Alligator mississippiensis: one gene and its partner. The protein of the gene in region 1 interacts with the protein of each later gene in a biochemical or structural test. Links are inferred from orthologs where the notes say so. Each region holds a gene or a part of one and is shown in the gene's direction. Other genes may lie near its edges.

Region 1 (7,947 bases):
CTTAGGTGCAATGGATCATGACTGGATTACATTTGGTATGTGCAAATATAATAAAGTCTAAACTGGTAACATTAAGTCTTGTGCTTTATTTAACAGGTCCAGTTTCACAGCTGAAAACGACTGAGCTGAATCAGCAAAGAGAAAGGAATTTAAACAGAAAAATGTGAATGTTGAATGGGGAATGTTTAAGTATGTGCTAGCAAATATACATGCTGTAATCAAAGAAGAAGGCTACACTCGCCTAAAAAAAATCATTCTGGCTATTAAAAAAAAAACAACCAACAAAACAAAACAGCCACTCCCTCTTCCCCCTTCCTCCAACCTATAAATAACTTAACAGTTAAAAAAAAGTTGTTGACAATAAATAGAAATTAGATGCTAAGAACTATAGAAAATGAATAAGAGAAATAAACTCATGGTTAGAACAAATAAGAATACTGAGGAGTTCAAGTATATCTGGGATAAAATGGTAGAATTACCAAAACCAATGCAGAATGTTCAATAAATATTTCTATTCTGCATGGAGGGGGGAATCCAGATGATGCATCCATATTGTGAGAAAATAATTTCCCTTGTAGCAGTAACTAAGGAGACTGTTTGTTTGTTTTCCAATATCTACTCAAGTTAGACATCTGTTAAATAAGGAAGTCTGGATAACTTGCATGCAACAATTTTTAAATGATCTAACCATGAATACCTATTTTCAATCAATCTTGAAACACTGATGACGTTTCAGAAGACTAGATGAAAATTAATGTTGGGCTAGCATTAAGGAGGAAGTGAAATATCCTGGATAATCATAGACTTTGTCAGCCTGACACTGATCTCAGGGGAAAATCCTGGAATGTCTGATACAGGATTTGATTAATCAAAAAGTAAACTAGGATAATTACAGTCATTTAATATCAATTTATGGAAAATAGATCCTGCTTAACTTGACAGCTTTTTCAATGAGTTAACAAACTGTGTTGATAGAAATAATAGGATTGATGCAATATACTTCTTCAAGTTGTTTGACTTGTTACAACATGATATTTTAATTAAGAAAGTAGAATAATATGTTTAATGCGCATTAGTTTTGTTTTTTTTTTTGAGGGGGGGAGGGTCTGGATTTAACTGCCTTACTGATTGGTCTTGACATAAAATTGTAAACAGAAATTGTAAATCATCAGCAAGTGAGGGTGTTTCTATTGGGCTCTTTCAAGGGTTAGTTCTTGGCCCAGTGTCATTTAACATTTTTTATCAGTGATCTGGAGAACATAAAATCACTGTAGATTAAAAGAAGGTTAGAGAAGTGGGAAATAATGATGTGAAAACACTGATACAAAGTGACTTGGTTTGTTTAAAATGGTTGTAAGCAAATGTGTTTCATGATGGCCAAATGTAAGGTCATGCATGCACAAATGAGCGTAGTCCTGATTTACATGATTAAGCGGTCTTGGCCTGGGATGAGATGACGGAAAAAGATTTGGGATGATGATTGATAATCAGTTGGAGAGAGGTACTAGTCTGAAGTCAGTCAAAATGCAGGGTAGATGTTCTGTTGAACGTAACTTCCATGGTATGACATTGGGGTTAAAAGGGCTGATGAGATCATGGAACATGTAGATAATAGAAACTCAAGTAGAAGTAGAGCACTTCTATTGCCTCTTTATTTGATACTAGTATGACTTTTACCAGAGATGGGAGAAAGTTCAGAGGGGAGCCATAAGAAGGATGAATGGTTTGGGGAAAACATTTGGCCTGTGCAAAGTGGCTAGTATTCGGATTCAGCCGATTTGGGGGACAGTGATTCAATTCGGTGATTCGAATCACTGTCCTGAATCCATTCAGTCAAATCTGATTCGGAGATTCAGCTACTTCCAAATCAGTGGAACCTTGGAATCACACAGGCCTCATCCCCTGCCCACCCCAGCTCCTGGCTCTTTGGGGGTGGGGAAATGCCTGGCACTCACCGGCTGCTGCCCAGCGGGGGGGCAGTCCCCACAACCCCTCCCCCCACTGCCCTGCACCATGTGGGGGGCTCTACCATGAGCCCCCTGACCCCTACCCACTCTTCCAGCCCCCTCATGGCAGAGCCCCCCATGTGGCATGGGGCTGTTGAGGGCAGCGGGGATAGCCCCCTGCCTGGTAGCACCCAGTGACTAGGGTTGGTTGGTTTTTTTTTAAACAACTGGGAGCTGGGGTGTGTGGGGCAGCCATTGGTGGTGGGGGGGAGGGGGAGGCTGGGAGAGCAGGCGGGGGTCAGGGGGTGCTCGGGGGGGCTGGGGGAGCAGACAAAGGATGGGGCCTGGCCTGGGTCCCCCCATGGTCCCCTCCCCCCTCCTCCAGCCCCCGCCACCCCCTACTTACCAGCATGGAGTCCAGGTCCAGCTCCCTGCTGCAGCCAGCAGGGACTACCCAAATCGCCGAAGCTCTGTGAATCTTTTCCGAATCGATTCAGACCTTTTAACTGATCCCCTGATTTGATTCAGCGATTCAGCCACTGAATCAAGCCAAATCTCCTCCAGATTGAATCAGCACCTGAAGCTTTGCACAGCCCTAGAAAACATGTCTTATTGTGAAGGACTCAGTCTACCTAGTTCATCCAAGAAAAGGTTATGGGATGGCTTGTTGAGTATGCAAATATCTACATGGGTGCAGAAATTTGATAGTGGTGTATTCAGCCTAGCAGGCAAAGCTGTAGCAAAGTTTGGAAATACCCATATTAGGAAGAAATTTGTAAAAGTTGGCACTTCAGTCTCAAAGAAAATCATTGCCAGATCTAACAATTAGAAGTTGAAGCTAGAGATGAGTCAGATTAATTCCAGACATGACACACGCGAGAGGTGCTATATATTTTGCAAACTAGGAACAAGACATGCTGATTCAGCTATAGGGACACTTTTGGATGATTTACGCCAGTAGTGACAAGGAACAGAACAGTGTCCTGCAGCCCACCTCTGGAACAGTGGTGCTGCAAGTTCTGAGACTAGAAGGTTATGCAGTGGGTTGTTTCCTCTTGGCCAGAAAGTATTTCTCTCCAAATTCAGAGGTTCAGCAGTTATTACTTGACCCATAAGGGTATTGAATGAATACCCTCTGGCATTGGAATTAAGAGCTTTAAGGCTAGTCTGTTAGCAAGATGCTGAGGTTGGACTAGAAATTAGGTGCATGATGTTAATGAGGGTAAATACCCTTTGGAAAGAATTGTAGGGGATGCAAGTGCCTTCTAAACTGTACACTTTGGTCCAACCACAGATGTTGGACTTGAAGCAAATATTAATTTAGAGAAGGGCCCAGTTTACACAGGAGACCCAACCTAGATCATTATGGAACTTTCTGGCTTTAAAATCTACAAAAGCCCTGGGGATAGAAGATAGCCATGCACAGAACAGAAACAGCATGGACAAGTTCCCCCTGTGCAGTCCTGCAAATATACCCCAAAGGAAGAATTGCTCTGCCTTAGTTGGCAAGTAATTTGGAGAAATTAAAATTTTGTTTTTGTTTTAGTGTGTTTACTTTTTTTTATAAAGGGCACATTTCAGTAAACCTTTTTTGATTGTTTAAGCAGTGACTTGATAATGTTTTACCAAAATCTTAGTTCTACACAAAAAGATTACAATGTTTCTATTTTATGTTCTCAGTAAAATAAATGTACATCAAAGAAGGCATGAAAATGTTAATGACTGAATTTGAAAAAGTCAACAAAAATTGCCATAGGAAGAATTTAATTCAAACATTTTTGACTGGTCCTACTTACAGGTGGGCCAGGAGTCTGAGTAGGTGAGGGAAGGAGTTATATATCCCTGGCTTATTCGGATCTGTCTGGTTGGCTTTCAGGAAGATGGTCCACAGTGCCAGTTATCCCTTGATGTGGACTCTCTGTACTGGGAACTAAAGTGAAGCCTATAATTTCCTTCCCACAGGCCACCAAACTGGTCATGAAGTAACAGCTTTCAGCAACTACAAATCTAGGTTGAATTTGCATCATGATTTAGTGGTTCAAGGCTCTGTGGCTATGAGCAGTTCCCAGACCCTTCAAATGCCCACCCTGCTGGGGATAAAGGGTCTTCCTCTCTCCTCTGGAGATTGGGGTGATCCCTTGGGTGCTAGGAAATTTTCATCTCTCTAGCTGGAACACTCACCAGGGCCAGCCCTAAGATGTGGTCCAGTTTTCCTGGTCAAACTGGAGAATGTTTCTGCATGCTTCCTAACCCTACACTTCAACCAAATGGGCAAAGTAGAGAGTCGAAAAGCTCAGTGTTGAATCAACTCAATCTTCTCAGGCTAGTCTAAGCTGAGTATATTGAACCAATAAACAAGTGAACAGGCATTCACTTTTGATTCCAAAATGCAGCCATATATCTGCAGTGGCCCAGGTCAAAAGCTGGGGGGTGCTAAAGCACACCACCTTGTTCTGTTGGAGCAGACAGCTTGGGCCAAGGCTAGCCTGCCCACTGTGTGAAAGGAGGTTGGCAGGGGAGGTGCAAAGCATCCTGGGATGCTGGGGGACTGTGAGCTACCTTGAATCTGGAGGGCATCTGTGGCAGAAGTTCAATAAACTGATTTAACCTAAATCAGTTAAGTCTGATACTACATCCATCCAGTTTATCTTAAACCAGTTTTGGCCACTTTGAAAGCAGTTTATGTGCGCTGAACTTCTGTTATGTTACAGATTTCAACTGGTTTCTAATCACTTATACAAGTTTAAATGTATAATAAGTATATTGCTTATACCTGTTTATGTGCAATTCTGTCCCTAGCCATAAACATTGGCTTTCTGGCTTGCTTCTTCTAACACCCTCCTGCCCTAGTAAATGACTACCCTGTGAACATTTTATGCTGTCTTGTAGGGTTCAGGCTACTTTTCTACAGGGAAGATATGAGGGGGTGCTCACTTGAAAATCAGCCTGAAGAACTGTTTATCTCCACTAATGATTCCCATCAGCGGGAGGAGGGGGAGGAGGAGGTGAAGAGCAGTGACCTGGGCGTTGCAAATACTACTACTCTTGCATCACTAACCACAGTGAATGCATTTCCTAGTCGGGAAGTTCTGAGAAGCAACCACAAAAACAGCAGCCACTGCCTGATGCATCTCCCAGAGCAGCATCAGGAGCAGCTTGCACCATGACAAACAGCTGCAATCACCTCCTCCTCTGGATGCTACTGGGTGTGTGGTGGCTGAGTCTGGAGCAGTGTGTGGTGAGAGCAGGTCGGATCAGGGAGCATTACATAGCAGCACAGATCACCAGCTGGAGCTACAGACCAGAACCTAAGGAAGAGACCAGGTAACAAACAGTGCAGGAAGAAGAGGGGTGTATCTACCCTCTTCTTGTAACTGATGGGGATTTGAGTCTCTTAAGGACTTAACACTTGATGGGGCTAAAAACCAGGTCTACCCCCCCCAAGTCAATAGGAATCTTTCCATTGACTCCAGCTTGGATCAGGCCTTTAATGTAGTACTGTGTTTTGAGGTAATTTTTACCTATCCAAATAGACAGGTGTGATATCCACCCCCCACCTCCCCCAGTTCTTTGGGCAGTTTTTAATGATACTTCATTAACAAAGTCAATCCTGAGCTTAAGTAGGCTTGAGCATGCTCTGATGGTCTCTGAAATGCAAAACTAGAACTCTTGGTTCAGAGATGATACCTTTTATTAGACCAACTAAGGAATCACAAAAAAATATATATTTTTCTTTGTGCACTCCAAGCCTCTGTGGGAATCATGCTTGCATAGTGCTGCCAATTCTTGCTGTTCTTTCCTGAGACTTCTGATATTTGATGCTTTTCTTTTACAGTGCCAGCTCCTGGAGCTAGTGATAGAAATCAGAATCTCCACTTTTGTTCCAAACAAAACAAAAAATGTAGTTCTCCTCATTAAAAGCTTAAACATCAGGAGGCAAATCAAAAAGAACACCATGAGAACATCACAAGATTTTTTAATGATTTTGTTTGACAGTTTTGCTTTTATGCCATGAGTGCAGCTTGGTGGGTTTGAAAGGATTATGAAATCACATGGGGTCTACAAATTGTGGAGGTAATATAGAGCCTTTCAGTTTTATTCTTCCACTGCAATCTAATTGAGGACCTTTGCCAAAGTCCCTTGACTTCAACAGACCTTAGTCCAAACCTATAGTGAGCAAAAGCTAGGGTTGTTTCTAGACAGCTTTTTGGTAACCTTTATAAAATGCTTTATGTGAGAGTTTGGGTGAGCAGAGATTACAGAGTCAAATGTTTGCTTGGATCCTTTTCCAGCAAAATGTATTAAGCTGGTGTTACTTTTACTCCTCATTTTAGATTGAATTGCAAAATGATTGGCCTACACATGCAAAATATACTCTGAAAATCATAGCCTATTAGTGTCCTTGTATATCACTAGCAGAATGAACAGGACTAGAGCAGCTATGAGCCTAAAGCCAAAACGCAGGTTTATTTAAAAACAAAAGAAAACGAAAAAAACTCTGCTGGCTTCTAGAGTTGTGCAAGGCTTTGGACTCTGCTTCAGATCTGGAGAAGCTTCGTATGCTTCTGCGTCTGAAGCAGCATGTCTGGATCGAAGTGCTGACTTCGTTAGGCTTTCCAAAGTGGTTCAGAGCCGCTTCGGAGATCCGGCCATAGGGTTTAATGGGGGGATCATTGAAATATCTACAACTTTGTTGTTTTTTGTCTGATTTGGATGACATTTGCAGGGGTGGTAGCCTCTGCTGAGAGCATGAGGCCTGCCAATTTCAAGAAGATTGGTATAGGGGTTTGGGAGGAACTGCACCCCAAATTCTTGAAAGCAAAACTCGCATCACATCTATGTGTTACAACACGGGGGGGGGGGGGGGGGGGTAAAAACTGCAGGGGTGGTAGTGCCTGGTGAGGCCACAAAGCCTGCCAAGTTTCAAGAAGATTGGTGCAGAGGTTTGGGGGGAACTGCCCCTCAAGCTTTTGACAGGCAAAACTTGTGACTTAGATGGCCCTGTGTGTGTTAAGGCACAGCAGGGTGAAAGCTGCAGGGGTGGTGGCCCCTGCTGCGGCCACGAAGCCTGCTAGCTGTCGAGGAGATCGGTGCAGGGGGGTTCTGGGGCCCTGCACCCCTAGCTGCTGACAGGCAAAACTCATGACATGGGTGCTTGTGCAACTGACTGTGTCTGTCTTGGGGGGAACTACTGCAGGCCTGGCTGCTAAGCTACTGTGTTACCAGTTACCAATCAATCATGATTCACTGTGGGACCTGCTCAATACACGGTTGCTAGCTAATGTAGCCCGTTAATTAGCAACAATTAACACCTACAAAACCCCACACTAAGGAGAGGAAAGAATCAATATGATCAACTGCCCCAAGATACAGACAGTCAGTTGCACAAGCACCCATGGCACAAGTTTTGTCTGTTAGCAACTAGGGGTGCAAGGCCCCAGAACCCAGAAGCCCTTCATCAGTCTCCCCAACAGCTGGCAGGCTTCGTGGCTGCAGCAGAGGCCACCATCCCTGCAGTTTTCACCCCCCTGTGGTGTAACACATACACCTGACATGAGTTTGCTTTCAAGAATTTGCAGTGCAGTTCCCCCCAAACCCCTGCACCCATCTCCTTGAAACTTGGCAAACTTTGTGGCCTCACCAGGGGCCACCACCCCTGCAAGTTTAATCCAAATCAAACAAAAAACAATGAAGTTATAAATATTTCATTGATTCCCCATTATACACTATGGCCGGATCTCCGAGGCAGCTTCAGAGCCGCTTTGGCCGAATCGAAGCAGAAACCCGGTCTGGAGCTCCAGATTGGATCCCTGGCATCCGAAGCGGCCAGATCCGAAGCCAGATCAAATAGCTGCCTACTCGCACAGGCCTACTAGCTTCACTGAGACTTCTTCAAGGATTAGGATTGGAGAGCTAGTCTATATAGGTTCTTACACTGCTGTCTCATCACAGTAATATCTGTGCACCTTCTTATAGTGCATTAGGTGATGATATGCTGTAT
Region 2 (7,921 bases), about 7.4 Mb from region 1:
CTGCTGCAAGTAGCCTGGGCTTTGGGCAGGTTTTCATTCCTGTTTTCCTGGTCTCCAACTATTTCCTTTTTTGCAAATAGCCTCATTTCTACCTTGTATTCTATCACTGTAATGTCTCCCTTTAGCTTTCCTGACCCTGCTTTTGTCCCCCTCCCCTCTCTGCTTTACCTTTCTGCTTTACCTTTTGTCTTTCTAATTTCTATTTATTTATATTCTCACTGATATCCTGCCACACTTTAAGCTTCTCTCATTCCTTGGACTCTCAGAACAGCAGAAGGACTATACCTGAAGAAGGGTTATTGCACCCCAAAGCTTGCCAAGAACTTTTTTCCAACTACTCAGTTGGTCTAATAAAAGCTATCACATCTATGCAAAGAACCTTGCCTGCCTGTTCTTCATAAGGCCCCTTCTGGCCCTACTTTTCTCTGATGCTATATGCCTAAAATTTGTTCGACCTGTCTGCTCTAAAATAACTTTAGCCGTACTGTTATACTGTCATACCATTAACATACTGTCATACTGTTAACATCATAGGTCCACTGTTTGTAGCTGAAAGTACAATGGGGAAGTTACCAATAAACCTTTAAGAAGAGGGAAAAAACTACTTATGTAATACATAGATAGCTTGTTTTGCTAACATTTTGGAGAAAGAAAACTCAAACATGCTTTCATTCTAGAAAAGTAGGTAGAACAGAATAAAAAAAATAATTGAATAGTGATAAAAGTTACTAATCAGTGCAAGCTTTGGGTTTCTACAATTACTAATTCTTCTGCTAATATAATTATGAGTAAGCACACTTATACTGAAGACCGTATTGACTCAGTTTTATTTCAAAGCAGACTTTGAATATCTGTGAAAATGACTTGATTCTCTAGTATAGCAAAACACAAGCTATAGCAGGCATAGGGGAAATATCTGGGAATTCCAATAAAGTGACATTCAAACATGCCAGGTTTTGTTAGGTCATTTCTGCTTCATATTTATTTTATTTTGTCAAGCAATCAGGCAGATTCCTGCTGTAAAGACTACAGAATTCCCTTACTCTTTTAGAAATACTTGGTCCTTATTCCCTAAGGTATATTGAGTGGTACATATAGAGGTGATTACATAACAACTAAAAAAAGTCTCATTTTTGTATATTGTGTGTAGGGTTGTGGGGGTAGAGGGTGTGTGTGAGGGATGGGTGTTGTGGAGGTGCGCACATGTGTGTGTCAGAGAGCTGCCTGTGTGCTAGGTTCTGTAACCTGGCCAGGGGTGGGGGGAAGATGAGTAGGGGGCACATGTGGGGGCCCACTCTCTCTCTCTATCCAGCCTGTGGCTGCCCACTCAGTGCTTCCAATGGAGCTAAGCCCTGCCTGCTCCTATCTGGGGCAGCTTGCAACGTACTCCCATTCCTGGCCAGCCCAGGTACTGCTTGGCTCCCACCACCTCCAGAGGTTCCTCCTCCTCCTGCCCCTTCTGTGTTGCTCTGGGCATCAGGTAGCACGGGGAAGTGGCAGCAGCCATGGAGATGTGTGCCAGGCATCACACGCTCACACAGAGTGTTAGCCTCTTATTCTGCATCTGTAGTCATGTATCCTTGAGTGTGGCATCAAGAGGTTGGGTGCTAGTGAGGAAGCTCCTGTGTGACTTCAGACACTTATGTGCTGAGGGATGGTCACACATTGGGTGTCTCACATTTTTAGTTTGTTTCCATCCTTCTGTCCTACTAGCCACTGCTCTTATGATGTCAGGTGGAGTGATGCCATCCAGCAGGCACACACTGTTTAGGCTGGCAGGCTTCAGAAATCCTGTGATGTATTGGCTGCTATCATGAAGTCAAGGTGCTCAAGTATGGATGTCTCCCCTAAAAGACAAGTTACAAGGACGAGTTACAACTTATAACTTAACTGGTTTTAAGGACATCCATTAAATGGTATGTCCTCAGCTGAGAAAGAGCAAAAGGAGTAAACAGAAAGTGATTTTCCCCAGGAGTTAACCACAGGAGGGAGCCAGGGAGCAGGAAGCTTGCACAGCCCATTAGTAGATGTGCTGGGTATCTTTTTTTGGTTTGTTCTCTCTCTCTCACAGCCCAGGTGTCCTCCAGAAAGCAAAGGAGCCATAAATGGAGACTGGATCAAGCAGTCGTGACTTGTGTGGAAAGTGCCATGTTTGTGTTCCTCCCAGAGCAGGGGTTGGCAACGTTTTTAGGCAGAGTGCCAAAACCCACACAACCTTGATTTGTAAAATGTTGGTGTGCCAGGGGCAGATGGCAGGGGAGCTGTGAGGGACCTGATCCTTGTTGTGGCAGCACAGCCCTGGCCCCTTTCTCAAGGCATGTGTGCCGCACAAAATGTCTTTGTGTGCTATGCTCTGGCACTTTTGCAGGGGGTCACCAACCCCTGTCCCAGAGGGTTAAAACCACTTAATCTGTACTAAGTATAAGCTGGTGTCTGTCTTGGAGGAAAAGATTGAAAGGGTGGAATCACAGGTGTCCACACTATTAAGGAAAATGAAGGTTTCTTGGACAGGAGTTATGAGGGGCTGGCGCTGGAGAGACCCAAGGGAAAAGAAGAGATGACTTTTCTGGAAGAAGGAGAGTCCCCAGAATTCAAGAGAAACCTCCTGAAGTCAGCAACTGCTTTCAAGCATTGTGTGGTGGAAGGGCTGAGGAGGAAAAGGCAGAGGGCAGGACAGCAGCAGGCTAGAGCTGAAGGATGCAGCAGTCTGGAGAGCAGGAAGTACAGTGTCCTAGGGATAGAGGCTCTGAGGCCTGTGCACCAAGAAGGAAGAGAAGAGCGATAGTGGTTGGGGGGGACCTTCTGTGGGGGATAGAAAAACTCATCTGTTCTCACACAGGGGCTCTGGAGCCCAAATCCAGGGAAGCCTGCCACAGCTCATCCCTCCCTCAGGCCACACCCTAGCCCTGCTTGTCCGCCTGGGTACCAGCCATGCTGCTAGCAATGTCACCCAGCAGGTCAGGCGACCAGTGCCATAGCAAGGAATTTTGGTGCCCAGGACAAGCCCACAGTGGCAGCCTGTCCTTGCCCCATGCACAGATCCGGGGGCACACAGTCCCCATGCTTGCCCGGGGGTGCACGCGGCGGTGGGATCTGCCCTCCCCCCTGTCCCCACGCCCCCCTAAATGAGCCACTCATGGCTCTGTCCTGTGCCCCACCCTGGCTGGGCAGCTCCTGTTGGCACCCCGTCACTTCGGCGCCTGGGGCGGTAGCCCTGCTTGCCCTGCCTTGCTACGGCACTGCAGGGGACACTAGGAGGCAGGTGGACTGAGAAGCTTAGAGGCAAGCAGTCTCATCCGCCCTCCCTTGGGCCTGCAGCTCTTGCCCCTGCCCTGCTGCTCCAAGGCGGTGGTGGGGCCACGAGGCGGGAATGAGAAAGTCACTCAGGCGCAGGCCATAGAGAGTGCCAGGAGGGAGTCCAGCAGTGCCCCTCAGCTGGCACTCTCTGAGGCCTGCTTAATTTATGGTGCTTTATAAATTTAAACACTATAAATTAAGAGGTGCTTAATTTATGCCCACAGCTGGGCAGGTCGCTGCTTTGCTTTGCTTGGCTCCAGCCCGGCTGAGCAAAGCTGCAGGCACAGCATTGCCAGGCCTTAAATACGAAATTATTGTATTGGAAGTTTAAAATGATCAATTTGCTGAAAAACTTCAGTATGCTGACAAAATATGCCCATCAGCTGCAAATAAATCTTCTTGTTGACTTTATAGCGTTCACTGGAAACTGTTTGGAGCGAGGGAGAAGTGGGCCATCAAAGTGGAAGTCTTGCTCTGTTTTGAGGCCAGCAGCCCTGAGACTGCGTTGAGAGCTAACCCAAAAGTGGGCTCTCGACCTCCTGAAGACTCAGGACAAGCGCAGTGGCTTCTTAACTTGGCAGGGGAAATACCATGCATCTGTGCAAACAAGGTCTGTGTTTTTACCTGTCTGTGAGCATATTCTGAAAGTGGAATTTAGGTCCTGACTTCTGACAATATGTTCCACGTATCTCGAAGAAAAACTGCAAGAAGGCAGTTTTCCCGAACCACTCCTCTGGTGTGGTTCAGTACTCACCGAGGTGCGCAGCTTTAAGCCCAGTTGATGGAAAAGGGAGTCTCCTCCCTTGCTTATGACTGAGGGCAAGCAAAACTTGAGGGCGACTAGGATGCCAGCCAAAGGATTTGGAAACATCTGAAGCCCCAGATGTGGGTGGCGGATGTTTGCCAGTAGCAGGGCCCCTTACGGTTCTGGACTCTTGGATTTGGAATGAGTTGGGGCTAATTTGGCCTGGACTACAAATGAAATGAAAAAAACCAGCAAACCCCAAAGGGGGTTCAGGCTCCCCGAGAGCGGCTTGGGCTCTGCATCTGCTGATGCCTCAAACCCACGAGCTGCCTCACAGGCGGTGGCAGAGTTTGAACGCGGTTTGCTCTGACGAATCGCACCAGGCTGAAGACGGGCGCAACGCGGGGGGTGCGGCGGGCGGGCGGGCAGTGGCGGGGCCGTGGCGCCCCGCCCGTGGTCACTCCCCCGCCGCCGCCGCCCGCGGCTGCACTCGGCCAGGCCGGAGCGAGCGAAGCCACCACTAGCAGCAGCAGCGGCAGCAGCAGCCCGGGCGGCCCCGCCATGAGGCCGCTGGCGGGCGGCGGGTGCCTGCTCGTCCTTCTGGCGCTCGCCGAGGCCCGCGTCTGTGAGTGCCGCGCTCCCGCGCCCCAAGGGGCAGCAAGGGGGGGGGGCGGACTGGGGGCCTGTGGCAGCCCCGCGCTCGCAGCGCCGCCGGGCGCCCCCTCTGGGCCGCCTCATGGACGGGGCACCTCCACTCCCTGCCCCCCGGGCGAGGGCCGCTGGGAGCTGTAGGGACACACGCACACACACGGGCCCACACAGGCAGGGATATAGACATGCACAGAGACGGGCACGGGGACACACACATGGACATGGACACGCACAGGGAGGGACACACGCACAGAGACAGGAACACACACAGGGATGCATAGTCACAGACAGACAGACAGGGACACACACATGGACACAAGGACACACACTGACACACACAGATGGGGGACACAGGCAGGGACACACACACAGACAGGACTCACACAGGCACACGCACAGGGATACACAGTTCCAAACACAGGACACACATGGACACAGGGACACACACAGACAGGACATGAACACATGCATAGAGACAGGGACACACACAGGGATACACAATCACAGACAGACATACAGGAACACATACATGAACATGGGGACACGCTGACACACAGGGTACACGCATGGACATGGACACACAGGCAGGACACGTACACACGCAGAGACAGGGTCACAGACACGGGTACACAGGCACACAGGGCACACACATGGACACAGGGACACACACAGGTAAGGGCACACACATGGACACACACAGACACAGGGGCACACACATGGACACCCTGCTATCAGGGGGAGACTATTGGGCATACCTCAAGTTGATTTTGAGGGGGACCTATAGAGAAACCAGGGGCGCAAGGTCATAGGCTTCAAGCACAGAGCAGGGCACACCAGGCAGCACCCACTGGCCCTTGAATGAGTCCAGGGAGCCCATGGATGCTGCCCAGTGAAGCTCTGCCCAGAGATGTGGGTGCACAAGGGACATGAATGCAGCCCCGCCGTCCCCAGGAGCCCTCCCAGCCAGAGCCTTCTTTCTGGTCAGGTATACTGCCAGCTTCGCTTGGGGCACTGTGTGACACAGGAGTCTGGGGCTGGGGCCACTGTGCAACACACTACACTGGGCAAGGTTGACCTGTGGCCTGATGCAGTCATCAGCAGTTCTTATGTTCTTATTTTTCTGCGGTCCAAAAAGGGGTAGGAACCGAGAATTGGCATTTTCTGAGGGGCGCATTGAGCTTATCAAAAGGTGTCTCAGATTTGTGGAGGGATGCCTTGATTCCACACAGGTTGAGAACCACTGTTTTAACTGCTAAAATGTGCTCTCCTGGCACTAGAACTGCCTCGACAATGCAGGTCACTGAGCTTTACCCCTTGCTCAAGATTGGGAGTCTGAAGGATAATGTGAGTTGTGACCAAAGAATTGCAAATGGCAACATCCAAGTGCTATAATGTTTTGTTTTTTTTATTCCAAATTCTTCGCAACAGAAGAATCACTCTGTTCTTTTTGAGAATGGAGGGCTGGTCTTTTCTGAGAGGTGCCCTGAGTCTATCAAAGGGGGCCTTGACTCTGTAGAGGGCTGCCTTGAATCTAAATAACTTGAGACCATAAAAAACCCCCAAATCAAAAACAAAACTATATAAAAGCACTTGGATGTTGGTGCTTCAGATTTACTACTCATTTATTTTCTTCATTTGAGCAATTATTGTCTGAGGGTTGACTGAACTGCACCAGTCCAAAGCTGCATACTTAGGTGATGCTTTCCAGCTGGGTAGGGTCATGGCTGCTAATCTGGTTGCAGACATAAAGTGAGATGAGGGGAAATGAAAAGATGTGCCTGGTGTCCACACAACTTCTGTGGGGGCATGGGCAACTGATGCCTCCTGAGTCTGGGGGGGCACCCGCAGAAGCAGGTATGGAGCTGGCGAGCACCCACAGATACCGCTGGTGGCATTGGTGGCAGGGCTGGTCCTGTCAGGGGGATCATGTGGCTTCCCCTCTCCCCGCCCCCGGTGATTCCCCTACCAGTCGCCTATACGTGGGATGAAGAAAAAAATATTTAAGGGGTAGCAATGTTAGACTGGTGTCGTCTGTTTGAACACTAGACTCAGCTCTGAGTCTTTTGTTGGGCCTGCAGGTCTGGACGTGCACAGATAAGGAGCACTTGCTGTTACCAATGAGTATTCTTGTGAGATCTTGAGTTTTTAAGAAACGGCAGAATTTTAAAATTACACTTCTTATTCTGAGTCCAGTGTTAGAAACAGCCAGCTTGGTGAAAGGGAAGTAATTAGTGGCAGTAGCAAAATAAGAGCTGCAAAGAATGTAAGCCTGGTTTTGACCTGTTTTACTAATGATTAAACCTGTAGAAGAAAAGCTAATGTTTACTATTTAAGCCTTAGTTGAAATGCTAGAGGATTTCTGACTGTGAAAATGACAGTAAAGCAGGATGAAAGTTCATTTCCTAACTTATTTTTGTGTAGATCATGGAAAAACCCCCATCATTTTCCTCCCTCTGTATGTTTCTTTTTTTTTTGTTTCTTTTGGTTTCCCTTCTTCATTATTTCTCCTGCCACGTTTTTCCATCAACAATTACATTTATATCTGAAAATAATTGTCAAATCAGTGCAGACCCCTTTGTTCCAGCTGGTCCTGTATCCTAGCTGTTGCCCTGACTAATTAACCATGCCAAGTAATGCTAAGAAAAAGGGCTAATGAACACACGGTCCCATACAGATTGTGGCTGGTGCTTAATTTATGCCCCTGAAGCGTGAGAATGGATCTCTTAAAAACAAACAAACAAACATTACTGTATTTATTGTAACCAGTTCCGCTGTTCTTATCCATGTAAATGATGAATCTGTTTTGAATCAAACTATTTTTGTCTGTAATAGTGGGCATCACTTTGAAATGGTTGCAACCCTTAAAAAACTCTTTTAATTATGTAGCTTAAATGTGCCACCTTTTAGTTTAATCAAGAACCCCTTAGTTCAGTGGTGCTCAACATTTTTCCCTGATGGGCCAGATGGGCAGTGTCTGGTCAGACCACAGGCCAGTGGAGGGCAGGGGTCAGCCTGGCCTGAACCCCGCCTTGCAGGGGGTTAAGGGAGCTTCACTTGGCCCTTGTGGTGATGGGGTGGACTTGACTTGCATCTGGTGGGGAGGAGGGGAGCTTGACCCAGCCCTGCAGGGGGAAAAGGGGAGTGACTTGTCCCCAGGGGAGAAGGGAGCATGTCTCACCCCGCAGTGCGGGGAGGAGAATGGCGTATAGCCCAGTCTCAACCCAATCC

What was found. The genes of interacting proteins can lie anywhere in the genome.
Region 2: the proteins of F5 (region 1) and PROS1 form a complex in vitro, tested with the Homo sapiens proteins (2 studies listed by BioGRID). The link is inferred for Alligator mississippiensis from reciprocal best matches to the Homo sapiens genes F5 and PROS1.

What each region holds. Positions count from the first base shown.
Region 1 is NC_081824.1:247,133,054-247,141,000, reverse strand, and holds the start of F5 (coagulation factor V), read left to right. Parts: upstream 1-4,816; 5' UTR 4,817-5,109; coding exon 5,110-5,270; intron 5,271-7,947. UniProt on the Homo sapiens protein: Central regulator of hemostasis. It serves as a critical cofactor for the prothrombinase activity of factor Xa that results in the activation of prothrombin to thrombin.
Region 2 is NC_081824.1:254,487,791-254,495,711, forward strand, and holds the start of PROS1 (vitamin K-dependent protein S), read left to right. Parts: upstream 1-4,449; 5' UTR 4,450-4,603; coding exon 4,604-4,667; intron 4,668-7,921. UniProt on the Homo sapiens protein: Anticoagulant plasma protein; it is a cofactor to activated protein C in the degradation of coagulation factors Va and VIIIa. It helps to prevent coagulation and stimulating fibrinolysis.